Neurospora crassa OR74A: one gene and its partner. The protein of the gene in region 1 purifies or fractionates together with the protein of each later gene. This does not show direct contact. Links are inferred from orthologs where the notes say so. Each region holds a gene or a part of one and is shown on either strand. Other genes may lie near its edges.

Evidence for each region. Proteins that work in one complex are often made in the same cells at the same time.
Region 2: the proteins of NCU08009 (region 1) and NCU07870 purify together in Saccharomyces cerevisiae (affinity purification with western blotting; 3 studies listed by BioGRID). This does not show direct contact. The link is inferred for Neurospora crassa OR74A from reciprocal best matches to the Saccharomyces cerevisiae genes MCM3 and POL1.

Annotation. Positions count from the first base shown.
Region 1 is NC_026504.1:3,901,431-3,907,302, reverse strand, and holds the start of NCU08009 (DNA replication licensing factor mcm3), read left to right. Parts: upstream 1-2,598; 5' UTR 2,599-2,828; coding exon 2,829-2,901; intron 2,902-2,984; coding exon 2,985-5,712; intron 5,713-5,785; coding exon 5,786-5,819; 3' UTR 5,820-5,872. Other genes in the region: NCU16827 (hypothetical protein), read right to left, coding at 1,187-1,504. UniProt on the Saccharomyces cerevisiae protein: Acts as a component of the MCM2-7 complex (MCM complex) which is the putative replicative helicase essential for 'once per cell cycle' DNA replication initiation and elongation in eukaryotic cells.
Region 2 is NC_026503.1:1,178,909-1,183,707, forward strand, and holds the end of NCU07870 (DNA polymerase alpha catalytic subunit), read right to left. Parts: coding exon 3,363-4,799; intron 3,314-3,362; coding exon 1,559-3,313; 3' UTR 1,158-1,558; downstream 1-1,157. Other genes in the region: NCU07869 (INSIG domain-containing protein), read left to right, coding at 1-665. UniProt on the Saccharomyces cerevisiae protein: Catalytic component of DNA polymerase alpha, which in complex with DNA primase (DNA polymerase alpha:primase) constitutes a replicative polymerase. POL1 has a role in promoting telomere replication during interaction with CDC13.

The DNA of each region.
Region 1 (5,872 bases):
TGATATATTTCACTGAAATTCCAAAATCGCACCTGTATACCTAGTGCTGAAGATGCCATCCCATGTGTTACGGATGCATTGCAACATCCACGACACTGGCCACTACCCTCACCAAAGCGAAATCGGCCATGAAACCAATGATCACTGAACGGATAGACATGGTCTTGTGGGGTCCAGTGGCTGTTGGAAAATCGACTCCGTCCCCAATTTCGAACACTGCCGTTCTTCACAGCCCTCGTCCTCGTGGGTTGTGCCTTGCATTAACGGTAGTCAGGCAGCGACCTTCCCCTTCGAGGTACCTCAGTTGTGCGACGAGGCCGCTCGCTTGGTGGTGTGACCGCCAGTGCCGATACCACGGCTATGTGCCTAGGCTGTCATTCGTCGGAGGCGTTGTTGAAGCCATCTAAGCTTGCACCCTTGTGTAACAAGGCTACTCGATATCATAGGACACTAGGTGCCGGATCGTGGTTTGTCTTACTTCAGCCTCCTCGTCTAACTTTGCACGATACCAGCATATGCAATTGAAACATTGGGCTCTGTTTTCAAGGCTTGCGGATGCTTTTGCACTCTCAAGATCTTTCGTTCCTTTTCGCAAGGCTCGCGATACCGTCTTGTTCTGTCCTGGTGCATTATCCAGATGCGAACCCGGGCCCCCCAAAAAAAAAAAAAAAAAAAAAAAAAAAAAAAAAAAAAAAAAAAAAAAAAAAAAATTTCTCTGGAACTAGGCATTGTTGCTGGAGTGACCAAGATCTATTTCTTGGCTATTACGAACTTCAAGATCGGGTCGAGAACACTGTTGCGTTTGACTTGGAAATATTTGCTGACTACATAGCAGGAGACATCACGACACATCTATCACCTCGAAAGAGCGAAACCATTGATTCTCGACCATTCTTTGAAGGGTACAGCGGGTGAAAGTCATCCCGTGCGTAGCTCCGGATGGTGACTTGCTCATGCAGACAAGATAAACCGCCGCTTACCGCTCCTTCTCACAATGACTGTTCGGCATGAGACGGGAACCTCAAGCCAGACCTGTTCCGGGCTCAACAGAGGATCAGACGGCTACAAAGGCCGGGAAGCAACCGGAGCCACCCGACAATTCGATTGGAGGACCCGCTGGGCTTGTGTCAGTCCTTCTCACGGCGCCTCACCAAAGTATGAGGCCCATTCCCGTTTACGGCTGCAGTCACAGCACACTACTGTAACGAACCGCGTCATCCCGAAAGACGATCCAGTCTACCGGGAACCGATTACCGTGTCTACATGATGGAGCTGTACGACATGGACCACAACAGCACAGCTCGTTGACGATAAGGGTGGTTTTCGTCCCGCCTTCGAAGAAATCGTACGACCAGAACCGCAGGAGAGAGTTGATGCTGTATGAGGCTAATGGCAAACGGCATAAAGTTGATGACCATATGTAACTTGCCATAGCCATGTCTGCAAGCGGGCAATGACGGCTCAAGTGAACAGTCGGGAAGTCGAAACAACAAACACAACACATTTCACGGTAGGATCCCGATGGGATCCCGATGGTGATGGGCTCTAGTCGGGTACGAAAACCACGGGAAAATCAAGGAACCAAAGGATGTATTCAGCCGTTGCAGTTGTTGAGCGGAACCTCAAACCTGACTGCCGTGAGAAGAACGGATGTGGGGCAGTAATCGCCGGCTAGGAGCAACGTCTATCGGACCGTTGAAAGTTGATGTAGCATGTGAACGACGCAGCAGGGGAGACAATGATCATGGGGAGCTCAGGATGGCACACTCTGGCTCGCGCTTGGAGCCGTCGAGAATCATCACCCGACTGGGGTCGGTTTTGCTCGAGTACTTGGGCGCTTAGGCTCATAAGTAACATTGGTACCAGTGAAGCTGCGAAAGCCCTGCGTTGGCTTATGGGTTAGAGACTCCAAAGAGTGGATCGAGTAACTTTTAGACACTCGTGGCTTCTTTCCATTTTACACTTTGGTAACAATCACTTTGTTTCACCCATGTCGTCCACTTAACAGGACCCAACAGATGTTGTCCTATGGTCATACTTCAACTGCTAACACGAAGCATAGCACAACTACGAAGTATGAACTTGTAATTTAAAGGCTGGGAGGCACACATGTATGTGAGGTACACACGCTAGTGACCAACAACACTACTGAGGTTTCGGCCGCCTTGAGGTTGTTGTTCTTTCTCTTCTCGTTTTCGGGGCAACACAACGTGGGCTTGCTCGCTGAGGATCAAAGGCCATGCGGAGTACCGAGGTCTTGAAGACACTGTCGAGCCAGACATGGACGCTGGTCAAGTTGAAAAGGCCGAGAGGTACAAGTTAGAAGAGATCAAGCATGTGCAAATTGACCTGGAATGTATGTACAATCTTCGTGGAAGTTTTGTTATCGATAGTAAATGTAACCTGGAAACTACACTGAGTGGAAGTCTGGAGGGCCGAGGTCTGGTGTAGGTGGTTAGATACTGGAAATTACACGCTTCTTGATGGCAATTATGGGTAATGACGGTATCAGGTACAGCCCCGCTTGTATCAATTAAGCCCCCTGCCTGAAGCAAGGGGTTTAGCGCGACTCGCGTGTCGTCGACGCGTTTTCCACTTAAAATCGTATCGTTTCGTTTTGTCACTTTTCCATGGCGGCTCCGCAAGGTGAAGCGCATGCGCCAAAACAAAACATCGGCGACTCTTTCATTCTTCTCCAGCAATCTTTTTGGACGACAAGAACGGAGGCCACAACGACTAGCCTTACTCCGCGTCCGAACCCGTGTTACCTTTGTTTCCCGTCTGTGACACTGGCTTGAAGAGTTGTTCTTTGGATTAATACCTTCAAGATGGATTACAACGCCCTCCGCGACGAGGCCGTACGCGACCGTGTGCGCCAGGCCCAGGAGTTCCTCGATCCTCGTACGTCGAAGCTTGAAGCTGATGCTGGCCCTTTGTTCACGACCGAAGCATGGAACGAAACTAATGGCGAACCTTATCTACAGATGACCAGCACCAGCGAAGCTACAGACCAGACATTGTGTTGATGCTCCAGAAGAACCAGAGGAGACTCGTCGTCAATATCGATCATGTCCGCGATCACAGCTCTGAGGTAGCCGAGGGTCTACTTACCGATCCCTTCAACTGGACCCTCGCCTTCAACCATGCGCTCAAGACTATCGTCAGCACCGTCCCCCAGGCCCGCCCCGATCAAATAGACCCCGACGTCTTATACTATTGTGCCTGGGCTGGCAGCTTTGGTCTACACACCTGCAACCCCAGGACACTGTCCTCCCAACACCTCAACAATATGGTCTCGATCGAGGGCATCGTAACAAGGACGTCCCTGATCCGCCCCAAGGTTGTCAAGAGTGTACACTACAGCGAAGCCAAGAAGACATTCCACTACCGCGAGTACCGCGACCAGACCATGACGAACGGCATTGTCACCAACAGCGTCTACCCGCGCGAAGACGAGGAGGGCAACCCGCTCGAGACCGAATACGGCTTTTCGACCTACCGCGATCACCAGACCATTTCCATCCAGGAAATGCCGGAGAGGGCACCTGCTGGTCAGCTGCCCCGAGGCGTCGATGTGATTCTCGACGATGACCTGGTAGACCGCGTCAAGCCTGGCGACCGTATCCAGCTCGTCGGTATTTTCCGGACGTTGGGTAACAGAAACACAAACCACAATAGCGCCCTGTTCAAGACGGTCATTCTGGCCAACAACATCGTCCTGCTGTCCTCCAAGTCGGGTGGTGGTGTGGCTACAGCTACCATTACCGACACCGATATTCGCAATATCAACAAGATTTCCAAGAAGCCAAAAGTTTTCGAGTTGCTTTCACAGTCACTGGCTCCCAGTATCTACGGACATGACTACATCAAGAAGGCTATCCTGCTTATGCTGCTGGGCGGCATGGAGAAGAACCTGGAGAACGGTACACATTTGAGAGGTGACATCAACATCCTGATGGTCGGTGATCCTTCCACCGCCAAGTCGCAGCTCCTTCGTTTCGTCCTCAACACTGCTCCATTGGCTATTGCCACGACTGGTCGTGGTTCTTCCGGTGTTGGTTTGACTGCTGCTGTCACATCCGATAAGGAGACTGGCGAGCGTCGTCTGGAGGCTGGTGCCATGGTTATGGCTGACCGTGGCGTCGTCTGTATTGATGAGTTCGACAAGATGTCAGACATCGATCGTGTTGCCATCCACGAAGTCATGGAACAGCAAACTGTTACCATTGCCAAGGCCGGTATTCACACCTCCCTTAACGCCCGTTGCAGTGTTATCGCCGCGGCCAACCCTATCTTTGGACAGTACGACACCCACAAGGATCCTCACAAGAACATCGCCTTGCCCGACTCCCTCCTGTCGCGTTTCGATCTTCTCTTCGTAGTCACCGACGACATCGAGGACACCCGTGACCGACAGGTATCCGAGCACGTCCTTCGCATGCACCGCTACCGCCAACCCGGCACCGAGGAGGGTGCTCCTGTGCGCGAGAACGCCGGTCAGGCCCTCAACGTCGCCCTCAACGGGCAATCCGAGTCCCAAAAGCCCACCGAGATGTGGGAGAAGTACGACGCCATGCTGCATGCCGGAATCAAGGTGCCCAGCGGCCGCGGGTCTGCCAACAAGAAGCCCGAGATCCTCAGTATCCCCTTCATGAAGAAGTATATTCAATACGCCAAAACGCGCATCAAGCCGGTACTGACGCAGGAGGCTTCCGACCGCATTGCTGACATCTACGTGGGCCTGCGCAACGACGACATGGAGGGCAACCAGCGCAAGACGTCGCCCATGACGGTCCGTACGCTCGAGACGCTCATCCGTCTGGCCACCGCCCACGCCAAGGCACGCCTGTCCAACCGCGTCGAGGAGCGTGACGCCGCCGCTGCCGAGTCCATCCTCCGCTTTGCCCTTTTCAAGGAGGTGGTCCAGGACGAGTCGCGCAAGAAGCGCAGAAAGACCCGACCCGCCGAGGGCGAGGATGGCATGTCCTCCGACTCTGACGACTCTGATGACGATGACGACGACGTGGCAACTCAAACCACCACAGCCCGCTCCAGCGCTGCCAGAGCTTCTCGCGCTTCCCGCGCTTCCCAACGCGCCAGCCGACGCACTCCCGCCAATGGCGCTTCCTCCTCCTCCGCAGCAAACGCCAACGGCACTCCCAGAGAGGAAGAAGAAACCCAAGGAGCAGAAGAAGAGGAAGAAGACATCTACGACGCCACCCCGCGCCGCTCAACAAGATCTGCTCGCACAACCGGCGACTCACAACCATCCTTCGCCTCTTCCCTTCCCGCCTCGCAACTTCGCTCCACTCGCTCCCAACGATCATCTCGTCGCACCGCTCAGAACCAAGACGACGAAGAAGAACTCGCCTCCGGAGCCGCCAACCTCAACGTCGACGAAGACGAAGACGAAGAAATGGACGTTGACGGCGAAGCCGCCCCAGAAAACCAAGAAGAGGAAGAGGAGGAAGAAGAGGAAGAAGAAGATGAGGAGCCAGCACCAATAAGCGAGCACCGTCTTGACGTTTTCCGTCGGGCGCTCGGTCCGTTGTTGAACTCGGGACTTTTCGAGGACGACGCTGCGGATGTGGATGAGCTGATCAAGGCTGTTAATGAGAAGATTCCCGGAGGCAGGAGAGGCGGTGAACAAAAGTTTGAGAAGGAGGAGGCGCTGCAGGCGTTGAGGGAGATGACGGAACGGAATCAGTTGATGTGAGTTACCCTTCGCTTGATATTGTGAGGTGTGATGATGTCGAGGAATGATGCTAACGCTGTTTGATGATAGGTATACCGATGGTCAGCTAGTGTACAAAATCTAGTCTGGTGGACTGGAAAGGTTAAAAAACCGAATTGATGCTGTGTCTAGGAAACA
Region 2 (4,799 bases), on another chromosome or scaffold:
CTGCTGCTGCTGCAGAGGCCGCCGCCGCTCTGTTGCAACAAGCTCCTCCATCGTCATCAAGGACTTTTCCAAGGAAGACACCAGTCACCACCACCCTCCCCGTTGAGACGGATTCCAACAGCGGAGGCGTCACCAGCCCGCCCGAAGCGGACTGGCCCCTCGTCGTCCGCAGCATCGGCGCCTTTGTCGGCATCGTCTTCGCCATCCGCCGTCTACCTTGGGCCTCGACCATGCAAGTATCCATCACCCTGGCGCTTGCGAATCCGTTCCTGTGGTACCTGATCGACCGCTCCAAACCCGGGTTCCTTCTCAGTGCCGCCGTGGGCGTTACGGGATCCGCCATCCTGATGGGGTTGGGTAACCCCGATATGATGCCTGCACCCGTGGCTGGAGCTGGGTATCACGACCATCATTTTCTGACGACGAGCGGGCAACCTGCGATGGACGTGCTTAATGGGACTACATCCGGGTTGCCTCGGAGCGCAGCAGCGGCGAGGATGAGCGGTATGGGAGGGGCGAGCAGCGAAAACGCGGCCGTCATTGAGACGGGTATTTGGATGCTCAGTGTGCTGTTTTGCAGTTGCGTGTGCTTTGGAAACATTGGGAGGAGGTTGGCGCTGAATAAGTCGGCTGCTTCCAGGGGGAGATGGGGTGGTGTTAGGTGATTTCGTCATTGATACATCACATCACATCAAGGGCAACAACGGAATGAGTCTCTTGGAAGTCATTTCAATTTATCTTTACTCATGCAGCGGGAATGATTCAACACACATCCATCGAGAATGGTCGGCTATCAACTCTGTACTTTTATTTAGCAGTCCCGTCGGAGGCGTTTATATCAAGGGAGTCTTACAAGGCTATTAAGCATATGGAGATCTTTCTTGCATCTTGTTTATCTTAGCCTGGCCTAGATTCATATTATGTCTCTATCATATTGACCCCCAAACGAGAACCGAGAGGAAAAGGCAGGATAAGAAAAAAAGGCGAAAAAAAGAATACTGAAAAAGTGAAATCCACCTGAGCTTGGTGGGGGTATACATGATGTGCTGACAAGAGTGGGATTCGAACCCACGCCCTTTCGGACCACGGAACTGAGATTTTCACTCGGATTAAGGGTTGACCTTAACGTGGCGCCTTAGACCGCTCGGCCATCTTGCCTATTATTGTATGTTTGGTTTGGGTGTATGGACTATAAGGCTGTAATGTGGTAGTTGTGGATGTGGGTGGGGATTAGGGTTGAGGCGAGAGGGTCGGGGATGTATCCCTGCCCTGGGAGTGGGAGTGAGATATACCAAAGAAAATTGTAGATCGGGCCAACACCATCCTAGACTGGTTACATGACGATATATAAAGGGGTTGACGGGTTGACAATAGTTGCAAACGTAGGGCATCGAAAAAAAAGTTATAATCATTCAAGAAAAGAAGCCCGTAGTTCGGAAACAAGCCCAATCCTTAACGCCGATGTCGACAATGTGAACACTGGAGGGAAACCATCCGCTCAACTTTAGTACCCGTTTTCACACATACCCATCCATCCAGCTTTCCTGTCCATGCCCACTTACTGGGGAACAAACCCCAACTTGGCAAAAAGCGTATCCATCGCCACCCATCTCCGTCCACATTTATCCAAATACTTTTCCACCACGCCCTTGACCGTACCAAACCTAACACGATTATGTTCCGCCATGATGGCGACCCTCTCCTTCTCCTCTGCACTTAGCTTAGCAGCATCCACATCTTCATCATTGTTCTCCTTGGCCTTACTCTTCGCCTTATCCACGTCCCACAGACTAGCAAAGTACACCAGCTGGTTGTAGATGTCCCGTTCCGTGTACTCATACCGCATCCGGCCGCCACACTCGCCGCGCGCCAGACCCTTGGATCCGAGACAGCGGGTGCCATAAACGGAGATCTGGCGCGTGCGGTTGCCGCAGGAGGAGTCGTCGCAGACGAGCCAGCCTTCGTAGTAGCGTGCTGTTTGGGCGCGGACGGCGGCTTCAACTTGGGCGACGACGCTGAGCATGGGGAGGACGTATTGGCATGAGGGGCATTGGATGCCGGAGGGCGTGACGTTGTTGACGGATGATGGGGAAGCGAGGCCCTCGAAGGGGTGCGAGGTTTTGCACTTGCGACAGCGGAGGGAGAGGCGCGCACAGGACTGGAAGCGTAGGGAGTCGGGGATTTGGGACTCGAGAGGGTGGATTTCGAGGTCTTGTGGGCCTGAGGAGTTGTTGTTGGTGTTGGAAGAGTAGCGGCGGACGTCGAGACCGAGGTTTTCTGCGAGTTGGGAGGTCGACGTGCCGACAATGTTGGCGCAGAGACGCTCGACTGGAGGGAATATTTGCTTGCCGATGTACCATTCTACGTCCGGAGACAGGCCAGATTCGGCCTTGAGCACGTCTTGAGGGGTGTAGGCACGCTTGGCGACGGCTTCTGAGGTGGTCTTGCTGTCGCCTGTGATGATGTACGAGATGACGTCGCCCTTACGGATGGTCTTGCCCTTGGCCAACTCGCGAAGGGCGACTTGGACCTGCGGCATCGAGTCGGCATTGGGATAATCCTTGGGCGCCTTACCAAGCTGAGTCGAGATGATGTACTTTTGCACAGGGACGGCACCCTCGCGCATCTTGGCAGATATGTCACGAAGGTACTCGTGGATGCGTTGGACAGACACCTCAGTATCGTCTCCCGAGAGGATCTCGGTGAGGATACGGTTGGAGATCTCCTTGGATAGCCCGCAGTATTCACGACGCTTCATATCGAGACCTTTGACCTCCATTTTCTCAACCCACTTGCCGTTGACCTCGACCATGTTGATGGCAGCATACTTCTTCTTGGCTTGGAGGAGGATGCGCCGGAAGACGTTGTCGATATCAATCTCAAGGAGGCGGTACCGCTCGTTGACGGCCTTCTTGAACTCGTGGCCGACACGCAGGGCTTCAGCAACGTTGTCCTTGTTCGCGTTGATCATGACGGAATCCGTGTCACCGTAGATGACCTGGAGCGAGTTGCTCTCCGCCAATTCTTTGGTGCTCCGCAGAATCTCACGACCCTTATAGGTGGTGAGCACGGCAAGAGGACGGGCGTAGAAGCGCGACTTGGTATAACCAAGACAGCCGTACATGGAGTTGGCAGTCAACTTCAAGGCGAGCTGCTTGATATCCCAGGTGGCGAGCTCTTCAGGTGTGGCATTCTTGTCTTTCATCAGAGACTTGACCTGCCTACGTCGGCTAACGAGTGTGGCAATCAGCTTGGGAAGAATGCCCTGCGCCTGCTCCTTGGGAACCTCGGGAACAGCATCATCGTCCTCGGACTACTTTGCATTAGCTTGTGACGTCAACGGAGGAAGGACCCTGACTTACCAGTGATGTTCGATCAACTGTGGTAAAGCAAATGTTGTACTCTTGGATGATGGAAGGGTAAAGGGAGTTGAAGTCCATGACGAGAACGAACTTGTCATAAAGACCCTTTTCTGGCTCGAAAACCAAACCACCCTTGTATTTGTCCTTCTTCTTTCCTCCTTCTCCGCCTTCCTCTTCTGCGTTTTCCTCCTCGATGCGTTGCCGACCCTTGAAGGTCTGCTTGTCCGGGACGACATATTTGTTGCGGTGGAATTCGTGAAGCAAAATGTACTCGTTCCGCTCAGCACGCGTACCGGTAAGTGTTCTTGCCCACGAGTTACCAGCCAGGTTGGTGAGAACCTTGGTAAGAGGAAGAATTTGAGTCCTGAGTGCAAGAGCCGCGATGAAGTAAGTGTCAGTCTCGGCGTGGGAGATGTAGTCCATCAAACCATGTTTGTCAGCGTTAGCCCACGTCTTCAGGGCGACTTCGTTGTCGATATCCCTCCTACGACTTTCGCCTCCCAGATACAGACTGCACATCTCGGTCAAGGACCAGGTCTGGCACTTGGTCATTACTGATTTACCGGCATCGTTAGCAAGATCGCATAGCAGACGGCCAGACATTATCTGACGTTCGGCAAATACATTGCCACCCATCTTAACAATGGACGAGGGCCACTGAGAGCGCCTGAGTCTGCCCAAACGAGACCATTGATGTGTCTTTTTCTCGTGCAGCCGGTTCAGCAAGATGCTGTAGTCAACACCTTCTAGCTGGTGGCCAAGGATAACGTCTGGATCGACAACATCGATCTGTGCGAGCAAGAAATTCAAGATCTCGTGTTCCTGCTTGAAGAGCTTGAGCACACCTCTGTTTCTTTCCTTGGCAAGCGTCTCGAAGCCGATAGGAAATGCGCTACCGTAAGGTCTAACAGCGGTGAAACTACGAGAAGCAAGCTTGTCTGGGGGAGTGGTGTCACTGAGCGACACATCAAGGTAGACTCTCCCGCTAACCGCGAGAATCTCCTGCTTATTATCCTTAGGGTTGAACGCTGTGCGCATAGCCAGGCTTAACAACGTCAAAGGAGGAGGCTCAATACTCTCGGCGTTATCCGGGACCGACACCATGTTGGGATGTTCTACCAGGACCTCCAGCTTGCAGTGCGAAGCATTCCTCAAGGAAGTGAAGTCTGCATCCTCGATCTTGAGCCAGCAGGGGCCCATGATGTTCTTCCAGAGCACAAACTGCTCGAACAGAGCGGTATTGGTACCAAAGACGTGGGAGAAGGTTTCGCCTTTGTGGGTGGGTTCCATCGCAGGCTTGGTATATGGGTAGAGGAGCTTCAAATACTGGCTCTCCTTGGGAACGTCGGGAAGCTCGAATGCGTACTTGCGGGTGCAAGCCTTGATCTTGTGCATGCCGACATTCATCTTGGTCATGATTTCATCAACCTCGTTGTA